2 linked regions of the Xenopus tropicalis genome follow. The protein of the gene in region 1 purifies or fractionates together with the protein of each later gene. This does not show direct contact. Links are inferred from orthologs where the notes say so. Each region holds a gene or a part of one and is shown in the gene's direction. Other genes may lie near its edges.

Region 1 (8,201 bases):
AATCTAAAGGGGTGACCTCTGGTGCGTTGATTGTTTTTATGGGAAAAAAGAACATCCCCTATCTGCCTATAATCCCCTCTAATGTACTTGTACAGAGTAATCATGTCCCCTCGCAAGCGCCTCTTTTCCAGAGAAAACAACCTCAACCCTGACAGTCTCACCTCATAGTTTAAATCTTCCATCCCCTTTACCAGTTTAGTTGCATGTCTCTGCACTCTCTCCAGCTCATTAATATCCCTCTTAAGGACTGGAGCCCAAAACTGCACCGCATACTCAAGGTGAGGCCTTACCAGGGATCTATAAAGGGGCAAAATTATGTTCTCATCCCTTGAGTCAATGCCCTTTTTTATACAAGACAGCACTTTATTTGCTTTAGTAGCCACAGAATGACACTGCCTGGAATTAGACAACTTGTTATCTACAAAACCCCCAGATCCTTTTCAATTAAGGATCCCCCAACAAACTACCATTTAGTGTATAACTCAAATACCCAAACCCCTATCTCTCCCCCCCCCCCCATCAGTTACTGAGTGTGCTGGCAGGATTGCTCTCTTCTTATATATACATCTTTTATATTCTAACTCTCACACTTACTGTGAAACCATTTCCTTCTTCTCTCCTCTCTGGTTTCCTGTTATCTTTAGCGCCGTTTGGTCAGATCAGCCACCGTCAGGCTTGTGAAACCCAATGTGTGCACTCAGACACAGGAATCAGCTATAATAAGATAAATAGAGAAAATAAGATAAATGGGTCAGAAGTCAGAATAATAACTGAGAGTGCACTTACCTGAGCTGCAATCTGATTTTAATGGCTTTGTGCTACATATGAAACCACAGTCCCCCAGTCAATGTACATATATATTTATAATGTTATTTGGTCTTGCACTTGCATGTATACTAGATAGCAGCAGGACACAGTTAAAAGGGAATGCAGCATGTGCATTGGCCACAGGCCATCAAATTGGGGGACAAACAGAGATACAGTAAATACAGTAGAAGCACATTGCTGGCACACTATATCACTGTCTACATCATGCAAAGAGTTAATTTAAAGGAGAACTGTGCCTTTCACATCTTACATATTTAAATACACTGAGCTGCCTGAAATCACCAAAGGTAAGTGGCCTAACATCAGCATCAACCAAAACAATTTTTTTTACATTATTAAAGAAAATGTAATGCTAAGCAACCTTCCAATAGCCCCTGTTATTTACTGTACATTGAGGTATTGACTAAACATTAAATGTGTGTTAAATGGTTTTCGTTCCCTAGTGGTCCCACCTTCCCCTCCGAATCCAACTAGGTGGAGATAAGACACTAATTTGCACCAGGTACCCAGTCACCATAGACATCCAAAAGCCCCAAATCCAAGGGATATACATGGCCCCCATTATCAATACTGTTGACTAGTAACAACACATCCTAGTAGGTGAAATCAGAGTTGCCTGTGCAGAACTGGAAAATATGTTTAATATCTCTATTTGTTCATATTGTTACTAGTGTCCTGCAGCCCCCCCTCTTTGCTGTGTCTTCCTTGCACCACTGCAACTGCAATGACAACTGCAACTCAGCTCCCTAGGTTAGCACTGCCTACACCGATTGTAAAGAGGCCCATTCATGGTCAGATTTTAGCTGCCAATTTGGGTCCTTTAGACCAATACGGCAGCTTATCTGCTCCTATATGGCCACCCCCGATGGGCCTACCCAGGGTCGGACTGCCCCAAGGGCCCCGAACCCCCCTGCAGCAGTCCTTGCTGCACCCCCCCTAAGCCCCTGCAGGGGCCCCCACCACCCTCCCGACATCCTCCCCTGAGCGCACATAAGTGAAACGCATCAGGGGAGGACATCGGCGGCCAGGGGAAGCGGCAACAGGGATCAGGTCTGACCCTGGGCCTGCCTAACTGATACAAGGCCTAAATTGGCTAGATTTTGATAGGGCAGGTTCAATTTTACTTCGGATCAGGGAAAGCATTGGCTGGTGGTCCTTGGGCCAATGGCACCTATGCTCGCCGTTCTAATTCAATTGTTTGGCCCTAGGGCTGAACGATTGAATTAGCCACATTTGGCAACCCGCCACCCAAGTCTGACACTGATCAGACTAGGGGGTATACTTATCATGCTGTGTAAAAAGTGGAGTAAAGCATTACCAGTAATGTTACCCAGAGTAACCAATCAGCAATTAGATTTCAACAGTTAGAAAATCAAATAAAAGCATCTGATTGGCTGCTATATACAACATCACTGCTGATGTTTTACTCCACTTTTTACACAGCATGATAAATATACCCCTTAATGTTAATTCATAGGTGAACTATTTCTTTACACTTCTGGTACTTTAACCCTTTTGCCAACTTAGAGGGCTTTTTTTTATCAAATGTAACAAATTAATTACCAAAATGTAAATAACTTTATAATGAAAAATGTTATTTTAAAAATTGCAAATGTGCTTTATTTGTTTAAATGTTTTCATGTTTTGCAAAGTGCAGAATTAGTTGTTATTTAGTGAATGCAGGCATGTTTATTAGGTGTAATGTAACCCATGTAGCATGATAGGCATGTAGCTAATGTGACCATTAAAGGAACAGTAACACCAAAAAATGAAAGTGTATAAAAGTATTAACAATATAATGTACTGTTGCCCTGCACTGGTACAACTGGTGTGTTTGCCTCAGAAAGACTATAGTTTATATAAATATGCTGCTGTGTAGCCCCGGGGGCAGCCATTCAAAGGAGAAAAGGCACAGGTTACTTAGCAGATAACAGATATCTACTTATGAGGCTTATCTACTAGTTATCTGCTATGTAACCTGTGCCTTTTCTCCTTTTTTCCAGCTTGAATGGCTGCCCCCATGGCTATACAGCAGCTTATTTATATAGTAGCTTTTCTGTAGCAAAAACACCAATTTTTTGCAGAGCAACAGCACATTATATTTTAATTACTTTAAAACACTTTATTTTTTTGATGTTACTGTTCCTTTAAGACAGGCACAGAAAGTGTATTTATGATCATTAGCAGCATTGCTGCATGTCACACCAGGTCAGTAGGTGCGATTCCATGATACCATGCAATGGAACTAGGTACTGCTACAAATACCATATGGGATGATGGGATGGGAGTGTAAACACAGCCATCATTCTATAAAACGCTGCTGAGTGTAGCAGCAGCCTCCGATTTGGATGTGCTACAATAATCGCAGCGCAGCTGATGGAGCAAGCTCAGGCCAGATGTGGGAACTGTTGCATCACATCAATGTTTCCGGACTGAGGGGAAGTCTGGATTTTTTTTCTCTTTGCACAACTCAGGGAGAGTGAGGGGAACAAGGCAGATCGGCCGGTGCCCGGGATAATCGCGGCGCAACATCTGGAGGGGAAGAGAAACGCAAGCGCCCGGAAGCGTCTGGAAGCGCCTCTCACTCCAGCAGCAGCAGCTGCAGCCACAAGTAAGTGACACCGAGGCACTAGGAAACTGCTGGGTGTGGCTTGGGCATGGGAACAGCTGGGCAGATCCTTACCATTCTTATCCTGCTGCTGTTTTGTGCATCTGCCATGCAGCTCCATCCCCACTGCCATGTCATCTAGTGCTGCGCTGCCTGCCGGGGAGACCCTCAGTGTGCTGCCTGCCGGGGAGACCCTCAGTGTGCTGCCTGCCGGGGAGACCCTCAGTGTGCTGCCTGCCGGGGAGACCCTCACTGTGCTGCCTGCCGGGGAGACCCTCACTGTGCTGCCTGCCGGGGAGACCCTCAGTGTGCTGCCTGCCGGGGAGACCCTCACTGTGCTGCCTGCAGGTATTTGCCACTGACTGGCAGCTTTGCTTTGGCTAACTTCTCCTACTGCTGCTTGTGGTACTAACTCACTCCCCCATACTCTTTTATATGTCTGTCATTTCTGGGACTAATGACCTGTTTACTAATCTGAAACTTGGGCAGCATATTCTTTAACTCAGCAGCAGCAGCCTTGTATGGGGAATGCAGGGAATGTGTGGACTGGAAAGAGTCAGGACCCTGATGGTTTGCCTGCTGGCAGTATAAGGAGGGGGTATGTTGTGTGGGTAGAGGTTCTGCAGCAGCTGACAGAATCCACTGACCCCTTTGGCAATATTAAGACAACTTTTAGCATTCTAAAAACAATTACCATGGCATCAAGCTGAAGGGAAATCCTATGTTGGCAGAACATACCATTTTTGGGTTTTTTTCCCCTTGTTTTTGCTATGTCTGCAATAAAGTGCAGTTCCCCCTTTATTCTGGGGTATTTTCTGTAACTTGCTGTATTTCCTGCTCTTATTGAATTGCTCTGTTTATTTGGCAATTTCTCTTCTCCTGAACTGACCTTCGTGCGTCATGTGTAATATCAGAGTTTTTCCCTAGAAACATCCACTGTCTGGTCCTATCAGAGCCTTTATAGTGCTTTCTTTCTGATATTTGGATATGGTCACATGATTGCAAGTAACTACATTTTTTTCTTTAAAAAAAAGATGGTACGTTGGTGCTGTTGCAGTAAACAGGGAAAATCTTGGAAATGTGCCCTTAATACCCTATGATGGAACATTTGAATTGCATTGGGTTACAGAATATTAAAGAATGAACAGACTCTTAGTGAACTAACATTTGGATTTATGCCTCGAAAGAATAAAATACAGTAGTTTTGTAGAAACTTAATTATTTTGCTTAAACCTTTGAAAGTTACAATCACTTGCAATCTTAGATAGGTAAATATAACTGAATAGCTGTGTTCTATATCAAAGCAGCAGTTCGGTCCTCCTTCCTGGCTAAGGATCTTAGTAGTCTTTATTACAGAGCCTGGAGACCACAGTGGTCCCAGATCCCATCTGACAGCTGTTTGCATCACTCCAGAAGTGAGATCTTAAGCCAGTGGTCCCCTAAAGATAGCCATACAGCTTGTTAAGCTAGGTTACCAAACAAGCAGGTCATTACACCTTGTGTCTCAACCCTTTGTAAGCTCTTTTGGGCAGGGCTCTCTTCACCTCTTGTATCGGTTATTGATTGCTTTATATGTTACTCTGTATGTCCAATGTATGAAACCCACTTATTGTACAGCGCTGCGGAATATGTGGCGCTGTATAAATAAATGTTAATAATGATAATAATTACTTGATTTGGCCACCATATTACTGGGCCAAGTTGGAATGGGGCAAATGTCGGGCAGATATTGATCAGATGGGACCTGCCAAGTACATGGGCCTATAAATTCACCTGTACAGCCAGCCTAACTGTGGCTGATGTTTGCATATAGGGTGTTTCTGTGCACCTTCATGAAATTTGGAAGCACCCTATTTGCAAACATCAGGTACAGCCTCCTTTCTTGTATTGTGCCCTTTGTATGCTGGCCAGGGAGTGTGCCTAGGAAAAACCCACTTGTTTTTGTGTTTAATAGATTGACTGTGGCTGGTCCCCCAGTGGACAACCATGTACCCTCTCCACCCATCTAGATTATAAGTAATATAGTTGTTTGGTTAATGTGAAGGGCCTGTGAAGGAGTACTCCCTCTTTTACGTGTATTCGTTTAAAGAGAAATATAACTTAGTTTGGAATTGTGCCCCTGGGACCCCATAAGATCCAGTACAGGTTGTAACTTATATCAGCAGCCCTCTAATAAAAACCCAGTGCAGCTTTCTGGCCTGCTGGCAGCGATGGCACATTCTGGCCATGTACTTTTTGATGCACAGAGGTCATATTATAGACCCCAGAGAACTTGCCCGGGGTAGCTGGCACACAAGGAGGGCATCAAGGCATCTAAGATAATTTACAAACATGTGGAGCAGAATTTGTACTTGGTATGGGTATCTTCAGTTCACCAGAGGGCTAGTGTAATGTCTTCCAACTACAACAGCCTGCAATGTGACATTTAGTTCTAGGGACTGTGTTGTGAGGAAACACGTATAAATCAGTATTTGTAGGTGTTGCTTAGCTGCATGCATCTGCTAAGATGTTCTCCATATTGGTGGCCTCAACTAGGGGACATTTTCTAAGCACATTTTCACTATGTGCCCAGGGCCTGCTGGTATGCCTGCCATAGGTACAGGTGGGTAAGCCAAGACAAGACTGGAAGCCCAGCCTGACATTTATTTAAGCTGAGATGCTGGAACTGCTGTGCTGGATATTCATAGAAATACAGCTGATTGGATTAGAAAGTGACATGTAATTCATGCTTTCAACTGGTTATTATCAATATCAACCCAACCATGCTAAGATAAACCTATAAAAATGTTATCTAACCACTGAGCTGTATAGAACACAAACAGCAATTGCAATTAGATTAACAGCTTCCCCTTTATGGAGGAATGTTGACCTTGGCAAAGAGTGGAAATGCATATGGAGCAGGGATAACATCTGTGCCGCAAACTTTCCCTACACACAGGTCCCTTGGACTGCAGTGTTTGTGCTGCTGGTCGCTCCTGTTCACTTTTTTTGAATTTCTTGTTTTTTTAACCCAGAATGCAGCTTTTCTTCCCATAATTCCACCATCATTGCAGCCGCAAAGGAAGGGGGGGAATGTGTTGTTGCTATGTTTTTCCAGTGCTCGGTATCAGAACGACTGCACATGATTTTTAGGCCCAAGCCCACTGTGAATTTTAAATAGGATAAGGGTTTGCACACATAAAACACAAGAATAGTGGTAGTATTAATAAAATAATCCTTTATATAATATGCAAAAGATTTAACAGCAATCAATTTTAATTACAAGATTACAGAAAATAATACATACATTTGTAAATTTACCCCAGGGTAATAGGGGTAATTCTCATCTTTTAATACTACCACTGTGCTTGTGTTTTCTGTGCGTGCCCTCCATTTATTTATATTTACTATATGCCAAGCCCACTGAGAATTCAGGACCAGAGGCCGGGTGGTGCAGCTATATATATGGGATCCATTCAGGGTCGGACTGGGCCACCAGGGCACCAGGAAAAAACCCGGTGGGGCCAGACCCAATTCCTGTCACCGCTCCCCTGGCCACCAGTGTCCCAACCCTGACGCATTGAAAGTAAGTTTCACTTACTTACCCGGTGGGCCCTGCAACCCCCAGTCTGACCCTGGATCCATTATCTGTAATTCCGTTATCCAGAAAGTTCAGAATTACAGGAAGGCCATCTCCCATAGACTCCATGTTAATCAAATAATTACATTTTTTTTAAATGATTTCCTTTTTCTCTGTAATAATAAAACAGTACCTTGATCCCAACTAAGATATAATCAAACCTTATTGAAAAACAATCTTATTGGGTTATGAGCATTCTATCATTTACAGCCAGGGTCGGACTGAGCCACTGAGGCACCGGGAAAAAACAAGGTGGGCCCTGGTGGCTCAGACCCGGTCCCTGTGGGCACTCACCCGGTGGTGCCCCTCCCCTGACGTGTTTCACTTATGCGCTCTCAGGGGAGGACGTTGGGCTGGGGCCCCTGTGGGAGGTTAGGGGGGCATGGCAGGGGCCCTTGTGGAGTGGGGGGACGCGGCCGGCAGGGGCACCTTGGGGGGGCGGGACACTAGGGGCAGCAGCCCCGATGGACCCTGCACCCCCCAGTCCGACCCTGTTTATGATCCAGCATTTCTATAAAATGAATTGTTCATAAGCAAACTTATAGGTTAATTCGATTTTAGAAATGGCTTTAAAGTTATATGTAAATGTATTACAAGCAGCATCTATCTTTTTTCTGTTCTCTACACAAGTGGTCCTGACAACTGAAACAATGTAGCAGAAATCACCTGATTAGCAGAGATACCGTAGAGGGGACTGACTGCTACATTGTTACAAGAGTCAGAACTGGCAGTGAATGCAGAGAACTGATGTCTGCATTACAGGGTAACCACATAAACAGCCAGGGCCTTATATATAGTGAGAGAAAAAACTAGAAGTTGTGAAAGTTTATGAAATAACACATAAGTCTCAGTTTGAGTGTTGATCACAGACAAGTTAGAAAAAAAACCTGTACAAAGAAGGGCTTCTATGCTATTTCCAATGACCAGCAGCAAATGGCTTCCATCTCTTTTAATGGAGTCCCATATAAAGCTTGCTTAACTGGGAGTTATTGCCACTTCCCCATGTGACAAGGAGTATATATCAATAGTGTTCTTCCATTGTACTAAAAAACATTAGCTTCAATGCGGGACAGTAAAACCCACAATTTGAAATCACTGAAATAGAATATACTTCTATATGGTAACAATGAGATTCCTTATTGACTT
Region 2 (8,185 bases), on another chromosome or scaffold:
AACAGCTTTGTGAGCGATGGTGCACTATTATTCTGATAGGCAACTCCCCAGCCAATCAAAACCCCCACGGTCCAATATCAATCAGAAAGCTGCTCAACTTCAAGCCATGCTAGAGGCCGACACAGGTTAGTAAAGGGCGGGCAGGGAAACACATATTACAGAAAAAGCACAAGGGTTTATGTATGTATGTATGCATAGTGACACATAACTGTTAAAACTGAGACTTGTCACTTTCTAAAATAGGGCTTAAATTGTAAAACAATGCTTTACACAGACCAATATCTGCATCTTTAGAAATAAATCCAGTTTCACTTTAACTCACATTTCTAACTTTTTTCTGCAGTGAGGAAATAGTCAAACATAATATATTCTATTCATAAGAATTCTTTGCCATTTCTTTGAGGCTGTGTTATATTTTATGCATTTCCATTGTATTTTGGACAGCAGCAAAGGTTTTGGCAAAACTAAACATATCCCATCAACAGATCCTCCCTAATCCACTTTACTAAATATCTCATCATGGAATCCTTCATGAAGTCAAGCAGATTCTCTGTAATCAATTTATTGTCTGTCGTATTCACAAGAAGCATTTCTTTGTATTATGTCAAAACTTTTGCTGAAATCAGGTTAGCCAATATCCATATAAAAATTATTTGTAATTGTGTTTAATTGTCCACCCACTGAGAGGCACCATCTCTCCCTACTATACCTACTATCCCACAGCCACAGTCCCTTCCCAGAGGCTATTATCCCCCCACTGCTACTATAGGCACCATCTCTCCCTACTATACCTGTTATCCCACAGCCACAGTCCCTTCCCAGAGGCTATTATCCCCCCACTGCTACTATAGGCACCATCTCTCCCTACTATACCTGTTATCCCACAGCCCCAGTCCCTTCCCAGAGGCTATTATCCCCCACTGCTACTATAGGCACCATCTCTCCCTACTATACCTGTTATCCCACAGCCACAGTCCCTTCCCAGAGGCTATTATCCCCCCAATGCTACTATAGGCACCATCTCTCCCTACTATACCTGCTATCCCACAGCCACAGTCCCTTCCCAGAGGCTATTATCCCCCCACTGCTACTATAGGCACCATCTCTCCCTACTATACCTGCTATCCCACAGCCACACTCCCTTCCCAGAGGCTATTATCCCCTCACTGCTACTATAAGCACCATCTCTCCCTACTATACCTGCTATCCCACAGCCCCAGTCCCTTCCCAGAGGCTATTATCCCCCCACTGCTACTATAGGCACCATCTCTCCCTACTATACCTGCTATCCCACAGCCACAGTCCCTTCCCAGAGGCTATTATCCCCCCACTGCTACTATAGGCACCATCTCTCCCTACTATACCTGCTATCCCACAGCCACAGTCCCTTCCCAGAGGCTATTATCCCCCCACTGCTACTATAGGCACCATCTCTCCCTACTATACCTGCTATCCCACAGCCACAGTCCCTTCCCAGAGGCTATTATCCCACTGCTACTATAGGCACCATCTCTCCCTACTATACCTGCTATCCCACAGCCACAGTCCCTTCCCAGAGGCTATTATCCCCCCACTGCTACTATAGGCACCATCTCTCCCTACTATACCTGCTATCCCACAGCCACAGTCCCTTCCCAGAGGCTATTATCCCCCCACTGCTACTATAGGCACCATCTCTCCCTACTATACCTGCTATCCCACAGCCACAGTCCCTTCCCAGAGGCTATTATCCCACTGCTACTATAGGCACCATCTCTCCCTACTATACCTGCTATCCCACAGCCACAGTCCCTTCCCAGAGGCTATTATCCCCCCACTGCTACTATAGGCACCATCTCTCCCTACTATACCTGCTATCCCACAGCCACAGTCCCTTCCCAGAGGCTATTATACCCCCACTGCTACTATAGGCACCATCTCTCCCTACTATACCTGCTATCCCACAGCCACAGTCCCTTTCCAGAGGCTATTATCCCACTGCTACTATAGGCACCATCTCTCCCTACTATACCTGCTATCCCACAGCCCCAGTCCCTTCCCAGAGGCTATTATACCCCCACTGCTACTATAGGCACCATCTCTCCCTACTATACCTGCTATCCCACAGCCACAGTCCCTTCCCAGAGGCTATTATACCCCCACTGCTACTATAGGCACCATCTCTCCCTACTATACCTGCTATCCCACAGCCACAGTCCCTTTCCAGAGGCTATTATCCCACTGCTACTATAGGCACCATCTCTCCCTACTATACCTGCTATCCCACAGCCCCAGTCCCTTCCCAGAGGCTATTATACCCCCACTGCTACTATAGGCACCATCTCTCCCTACTATACCTGCTATCCCACAGCCCCAGTCCCTTCCCAGAGGCTGTGGAATGCCCTTCCTAGTGATGTGGTAATGGCAGACTCTGTTAATGCCTTTAAGAGGGGCCTGGATGAGTTTTTGAACAAGCAGAATATCCAAGGCTATTGTGATACTAATATCTACAGTTAGTATTACTGGTTGTATATATATAGTTTATGTATGTGAGTGTATAGATTGGTTAGTATAGGTTGTGTGCTGGGTTTACTCGGATGGGTTGAACTTGATGGACAATGGTCTTTTTTCAACCCTATGTAACTATGTAATTATCCCACTGCTACTATAGGCACCATCTCTCCCTACTATACCTGCTATCCCACAGCCACAGTCCCTTCCCAGAGGATATTATCCCACTGCTACTATAGGCACCATCTCTCCCTACTATACCTGCTATCCCACAGCCACAGTCCCTTCCCAGAGGCTATTATCCCCACTGCTACTATAGGCACCATCTCCCACTACTATACCTGCTATCCCACAGCCACAGTCCCTTCCCAGAGGCTATTATCCCACTGCTACTATAGGCACCATCTCTCCCTACTATACCTGCTATCCCACAGCCACAGTCCCTTCCCAGAGGCTATTATTCCCCCACTGCTACTATAGGCTCACTACTATACCTGCTATCCCTTCCCAGTAAGTACCACACCTAATACACCAACATTTGCTGAAGACTAAAGCCCTTAATACCATACCAATACCAGCATCATTTCACCCTATGTTACCTGTTATAGCGTACCACAGGCTATTGCTAATAGAGCTGCTAGTTGCAGAGAAAGCAGGCTGTGAGCATGCGCATATGGGGAGGCTTCCCGGCCGTCCCACCCCTCTGCAGACCCTACCATATGCCAGCGCTTAGGGGGGCGACCCCTGTTTTCAGCTTTTGTGCCCCAAGCTACGCGCAAAACCCCGAAAATCACACTGAAACATGTTAATTATGAAATATCATTTGCATAATCTACGCATGCGCATCTCCCTCTGTTCATGACGTCAGTAAATTTCTCAAGTAAGAAAAGGAATACAAATCGATGCCCTCCAGCGGGACGTGAGATGACAAGTCACAAATACTGTCGTACAGACTGTCCAGGTTGGAACTCTCAGATTCTTAGCCTTGCCTTATTTTTCCTGAAATGAAACTAAAAGCGCCGAAGCGGAGCAGCATATTAGGGTAACAATGACCTAACGCCGGCAGTACGGCACAAGCGTTACCCTTGCGCCTGCGCAATGGGTATATTCGCCGTCAGTACATTTTTTTTCTTTGTAGTGGGCGTGGCCGCAGGGTGGAAGTATGACGACGCTTGGTTTGTGGCAAGGAAAAGAGCAGCGTTGCTTGTACGCGGGCGTGGCTAGGAGTGGTGGGCGGAGCTAGGTGGTTTCTGATGCCTGGCCGGAGAGGTAGAAGCTCTAGGCGGTTGGAATCTCTGTGAGGTCCGTGTTGGTGAGGTGTGTGCTGGGGCACATGGTGCCAGGCTCCGGGGCGCGCTTTCTCTACCCAGCTCCGCTGCCTGTCTCAGGTGAGCTTCCTTGGCTTGTCAGGGCGTTCTGAGAGGAAGTTACGGTGGGTTGTATGTCGGGGTGGGAGGGGGTCGTGGGAAAGGGAGAGGCCTGCTGGGGAGCTGAGTATCATTCCCATGACTGGCTGTGGAGACCTGGAATGTCATATTCGATTGTCTCCAAGCTGCTACGTTGTGCAGCTTCCCAGCATCCTCAGCTAGGGCACTATTGCAAGATAACCCTGCTTAGCTTATCATTTGTATTTCAGGGCTCTTGCTGAACCACAGCACCCACATTTCTCACTTCCTTAGGTGATGCTTAGAGTATAAGGAGTGGGATACACCTTAATCCCCCATAGCCTATCATAACCTTTTCTGAAAATACATTCTGACTGTTCTTTTCATTGATAAACAAAACAAAAAACTCCATATTTTCTTAGTCTAAGCAACTCCCTCTCTTTAACCCTTTGTTGCAACTGTTTTGGGGATACTTATAAACAGATGCCCAAGCTACAGAGGGTACAACTGTGCTCTCATAATCTTATTATCTACCTTACAAGAACCAGGAAGTTAGAATCATGGAGTCGCTTCAGTTGCTCTGTTTGCCCAATTTAGTTAAAGCAATAACAAACACCATCGATATGTTTTAATTAAAACAATAGACAAAAAGTATGTTTGGCACAAACCCTCTTTATTGCACTCATGTTAGGCAAGGAGTATACTCCTTTAAGTAGCTGCAGGCTTGCATGTTGGGAATCCCAGTTATGAAGAATAAACATGCATATTCTCTACTGCATTAACTATGTTTTATTATACAGATGCCTCACACTGTTTTCCTTATAGGCCTAGCCATTGATTCCCTACTAAATATTAATTAATGAAACTCGTTAGGCTGTGAACTGAAGCAGCACCAAGTGGAGTTGCATGGGGCTACTGCAGCTTAGTCAAATGTTTTCACTTTAGTTGTTGGCGTTTTAGTGATTGTGGTATGAACCCTGCATCCATGTGCATGACTGTGGGAACCCCAGCCTGGGTCTCTGAAACCCATTCATCCTCCTCATTTGTTAGGGATCCACAGAAGAACAACAGCAAGGCAGCTACAAGCTAAATATCTTGTTCTGCACACTGGCCCTTGTGGGGCTATGGCTTGTAGTAGATAGATACTAGATGAGTTGCCATGCTATGAAAGCTGTTAGGGCAATGGTACATGGGGCACTGGTGAGTAGAATTGGAAATCATGTGTTCTGCATAGCACTCCCAGTGGTCTATGAGCCATTGATCTTACATGACATTTATACCTATAACTTCTTACAGTTTTATTACAAAAGAATATCTTAATTGAAAATGGATTTTTACTTTCCTTACTTAGGAATCTGGACCAGCTCCTTTTCTCCTTCTGTGTTGCCCAGTCATTTAAGGCAGTTCATTCAGCAGACATGGGTCAATCTACATCCATGCATTGGTGCTGACTCAAATAGATCCACATGCCTCCTTTTCTCTGGCCAAGTGGCTTAGAAGGGGAGGGATCATAGGCTCATTTACTGGACAGACCAGTGGCTGTTTAGTCACTTAAGTCATTAAATGTCTCTTAATTGAAAGAGCAGTTTTCCACGGGGAGCCATTTTTTCATCGGATGCACCAGTCTTTGTGGTTGCATGAAGCAGGAAGCACTGTTGCAGTGCAACTGAATTACACAGCAGAAAGCAGCTTGTAAAGGAAGTTTGTGTGAGTGTGCGAGGAGGGGTGTTGTTTCGGTTGACTTTAAATCATGTATAATTTGAACGTGGAAATTGGCAAATTTCTTTTGAACACACTTGTGTTTTTAGCTAAAATATTCCTCAACCAGGAAGGCTAAAAACAAATGGTCAAAATTAATAAACATACAGTCGTAGCCATTACGGTATATTTTCATGAGTCAAAAGATATTGTAAGAGACAGTGAAAACAAGGCCAGACAGTAACGGTTGTGGGTGTATGAGTAGAAAGGAAGGAAAGTAATGGTCAGTATGACAACAAGAGAATGAGTGACTGTGACAGGATGTATATACAAGCTCATACTGACCCCATAGATAATACAGCAAACTATGGATCAGAGTGGCTTGATTCTATTCATTCTTCATAGTTTGGGCTGAACTACACAACGGTCAACAAAGCACATAATCCAAATAGTTCCACTTGTCCATAAATAATGCTACTGATAGTAAAAGTAGAGTCTGTTAACTACGTTAAAGTTGTCATCTGACACAATCCGGCTGTCAAAAGCTTCCAACCTATAGCAGCTAGTCTAATAGTCTAGTCCAGTGCTGTCCAACTGGCGGCCCGCGGGCCGCATGCGGCCCGCGGCCCCCCTCTGTGTGGCCCCCCACCTGTCTGGCTGCTTTGATGGCTTACCTTTGTGTAAGCTTTAAATGGTATCAGAACTGTAATTAACTGCCCCCCCCCCCTGCATGGTTCTCACCTCAGATTCAGGCTGTAATCAGGCTGTATTGTTTAAATATGTAATCCCCTGTACTGTTCACACCTTTTAATCTCTGCATTGTTCACCCCCTGCAGTGTTCACACCTCAGGCTCAGGCTGTAATCACACCCATTGTTCACTTCTTCACACCTCAGGAGCAGTAGAAACCCACAAATAATCCCTGCATACTACAAAAAGAACATATACTGAGGTGGTACTGCAATTAAAAAGTTTTTTAATATATAGTTATTGTGCAGACTGTAGGAGCAGTGCCAGCATTGTGTCACTGTAGGCTGCCTGTGTGTGAGCATAGGGCAAGCAGAGTATGGCACACACAGGCAGGGTAGGGAAGGCAGAGTATGGCACGCACAGGCAGAGTAGGGCAGGCAGAGTATGGCACACACAGGAAGAGTAGGGCAGGCAGAGTATGGCACACACAGGCAGAGTAGGGCAGGCAGAGTATGGCACACACAGGCAGGGTAGGGAAGGCAGAGTATGGCAGGCAGAGTATGGCACACACAGGCCAAGTTTGGCACAAACCAGCCAAGAATGGCACACACAGTGAAAGTATGGCACACGCAGGCAGGGTAGGGAAGGCAGAGTATGGCACACACAAAGGCAGGGTAGGGCAGGCAGAGTATGGCAGGTTTTTGCTGTACTACAACCATTAATATGGGTATGGTCATGTGATAACATGGGTGTGGTTTCAAGTGGGTGCGGTTTCAAAAAGGGGAGTGGTCAAAACTGGCTTCCATTATCGGCCCTCCACCACGTAGGTCGGAAAAATTCCGGCCCTCGGTACAACAGAAGTTGGACAGCACTGGTCTAGTCTAATAGGCTCTTTATTTCACATTGAAATACATCTACTGTATAGTCAGATCTTCACATATGGCAAAGTTAGGAGCTGTCTGGTTTTGCCTGATTAGATATCTCAGGTTTGGTGCTGTCTTTTAAAGGACAGTAAAAGCTCCCAACTTGGCTCTTCCAGGCTGTCTTATTTGTGTATAGGGCCCTCTGGAGAACCCTTTTTGACTGATATACTGATTATAATTGGCCAGATATCTGTTGGACAGATCTGACAATTCTGTAAGGTGAGGACCACTATGGTGCATTGATTTGGTCCTCACACAACAGGTCCCTGTAGCCCCCAGTAGGGTCTGATCTTTGGCCCCTCGGCCATCGATAGGATCAACCTGATTTAATTTTGTAGATGGGTGACTGAATTGGGCAAACATCTGCCATTTGGCAATTTCGTAAAATGAGTTCATATTTAAATGTATGGTCAGATTAACAGTGTGTAAATTAATATAGTTTTAGTCTTGCGCAGAGCACAAGTGGCTCCTCTTAACTATCTCATCTACAGATGCACCTTGCACTTGCCGACATGGCACATTGACAGATTACAATTTTTAATCTGTCTGATTCCAGAGCCAACCAATTTTTATAGTACAGTATGGTTGTCTATTAACTGGAAAATCAATATCCAGAAAGATTAATTTAGAATTTTTAAAAATATTTTCATTTTTCTGTGTACAGTAATAAAACAAAACAGTACCTTTGTACTTAATGGTTAGCATACTACATAAAGCCCAGTTCCCAAGTATTCTGAATAATAGATTCCATACCCCTACATGCATATGTCGGGATAAACAGGCAACCATACACGTGACAATAATAATGGTTCGTGCATGGCCAGCTTTATGCTGACAGTCATGCAACTTGAGGTCTCTCTCTCTGTGTACGGCCGTTTTGGAAATCAGAAAGACCTTAAGTCCTGAATCCATCATTTCACAATGGAAAAAGGTGAGGGCAGGGCTGTATGACTCTGCCAGCCTTAGGTGGGTTGCCAAGTGTATCTTACAAGTTACAGAC

Evidence for each region.
Region 2: the proteins of wipf1 (region 1) and nck1 purify together in Homo sapiens (co-immunoprecipitation; 5 studies listed by BioGRID and IntAct, with this or other methods). This does not show direct contact. The link is inferred for Xenopus tropicalis from reciprocal best matches to the Homo sapiens genes WIPF1 and NCK1.

The regions. Positions count from the first base shown.
Region 1 is NC_030685.2:66,318,972-66,327,172, forward strand, and holds the start of wipf1 (WAS/WASL-interacting protein family member 1), read left to right. Parts: upstream 1-3,212; 5' UTR 3,213-3,439; intron 3,440-3,551; exon of another isoform or gene 3,552-3,784; intron 3,785-8,201. UniProt on the Homo sapiens protein: Plays a role in the reorganization of the actin cytoskeleton. Contributes with NCK1 and GRB2 in the recruitment and activation of WASL.
Region 2 is NC_030681.2:132,191,005-132,199,189, reverse strand, and holds the start of nck1 (cytoplasmic protein NCK1), read left to right. Parts: upstream 1-3,752; 5' UTR 3,753-3,878; intron 3,879-8,185. UniProt on the Homo sapiens protein: Adapter protein which associates with tyrosine-phosphorylated growth factor receptors, such as KDR and PDGFRB, or their cellular substrates. Maintains low levels of EIF2S1 phosphorylation by promoting its dephosphorylation by PP1.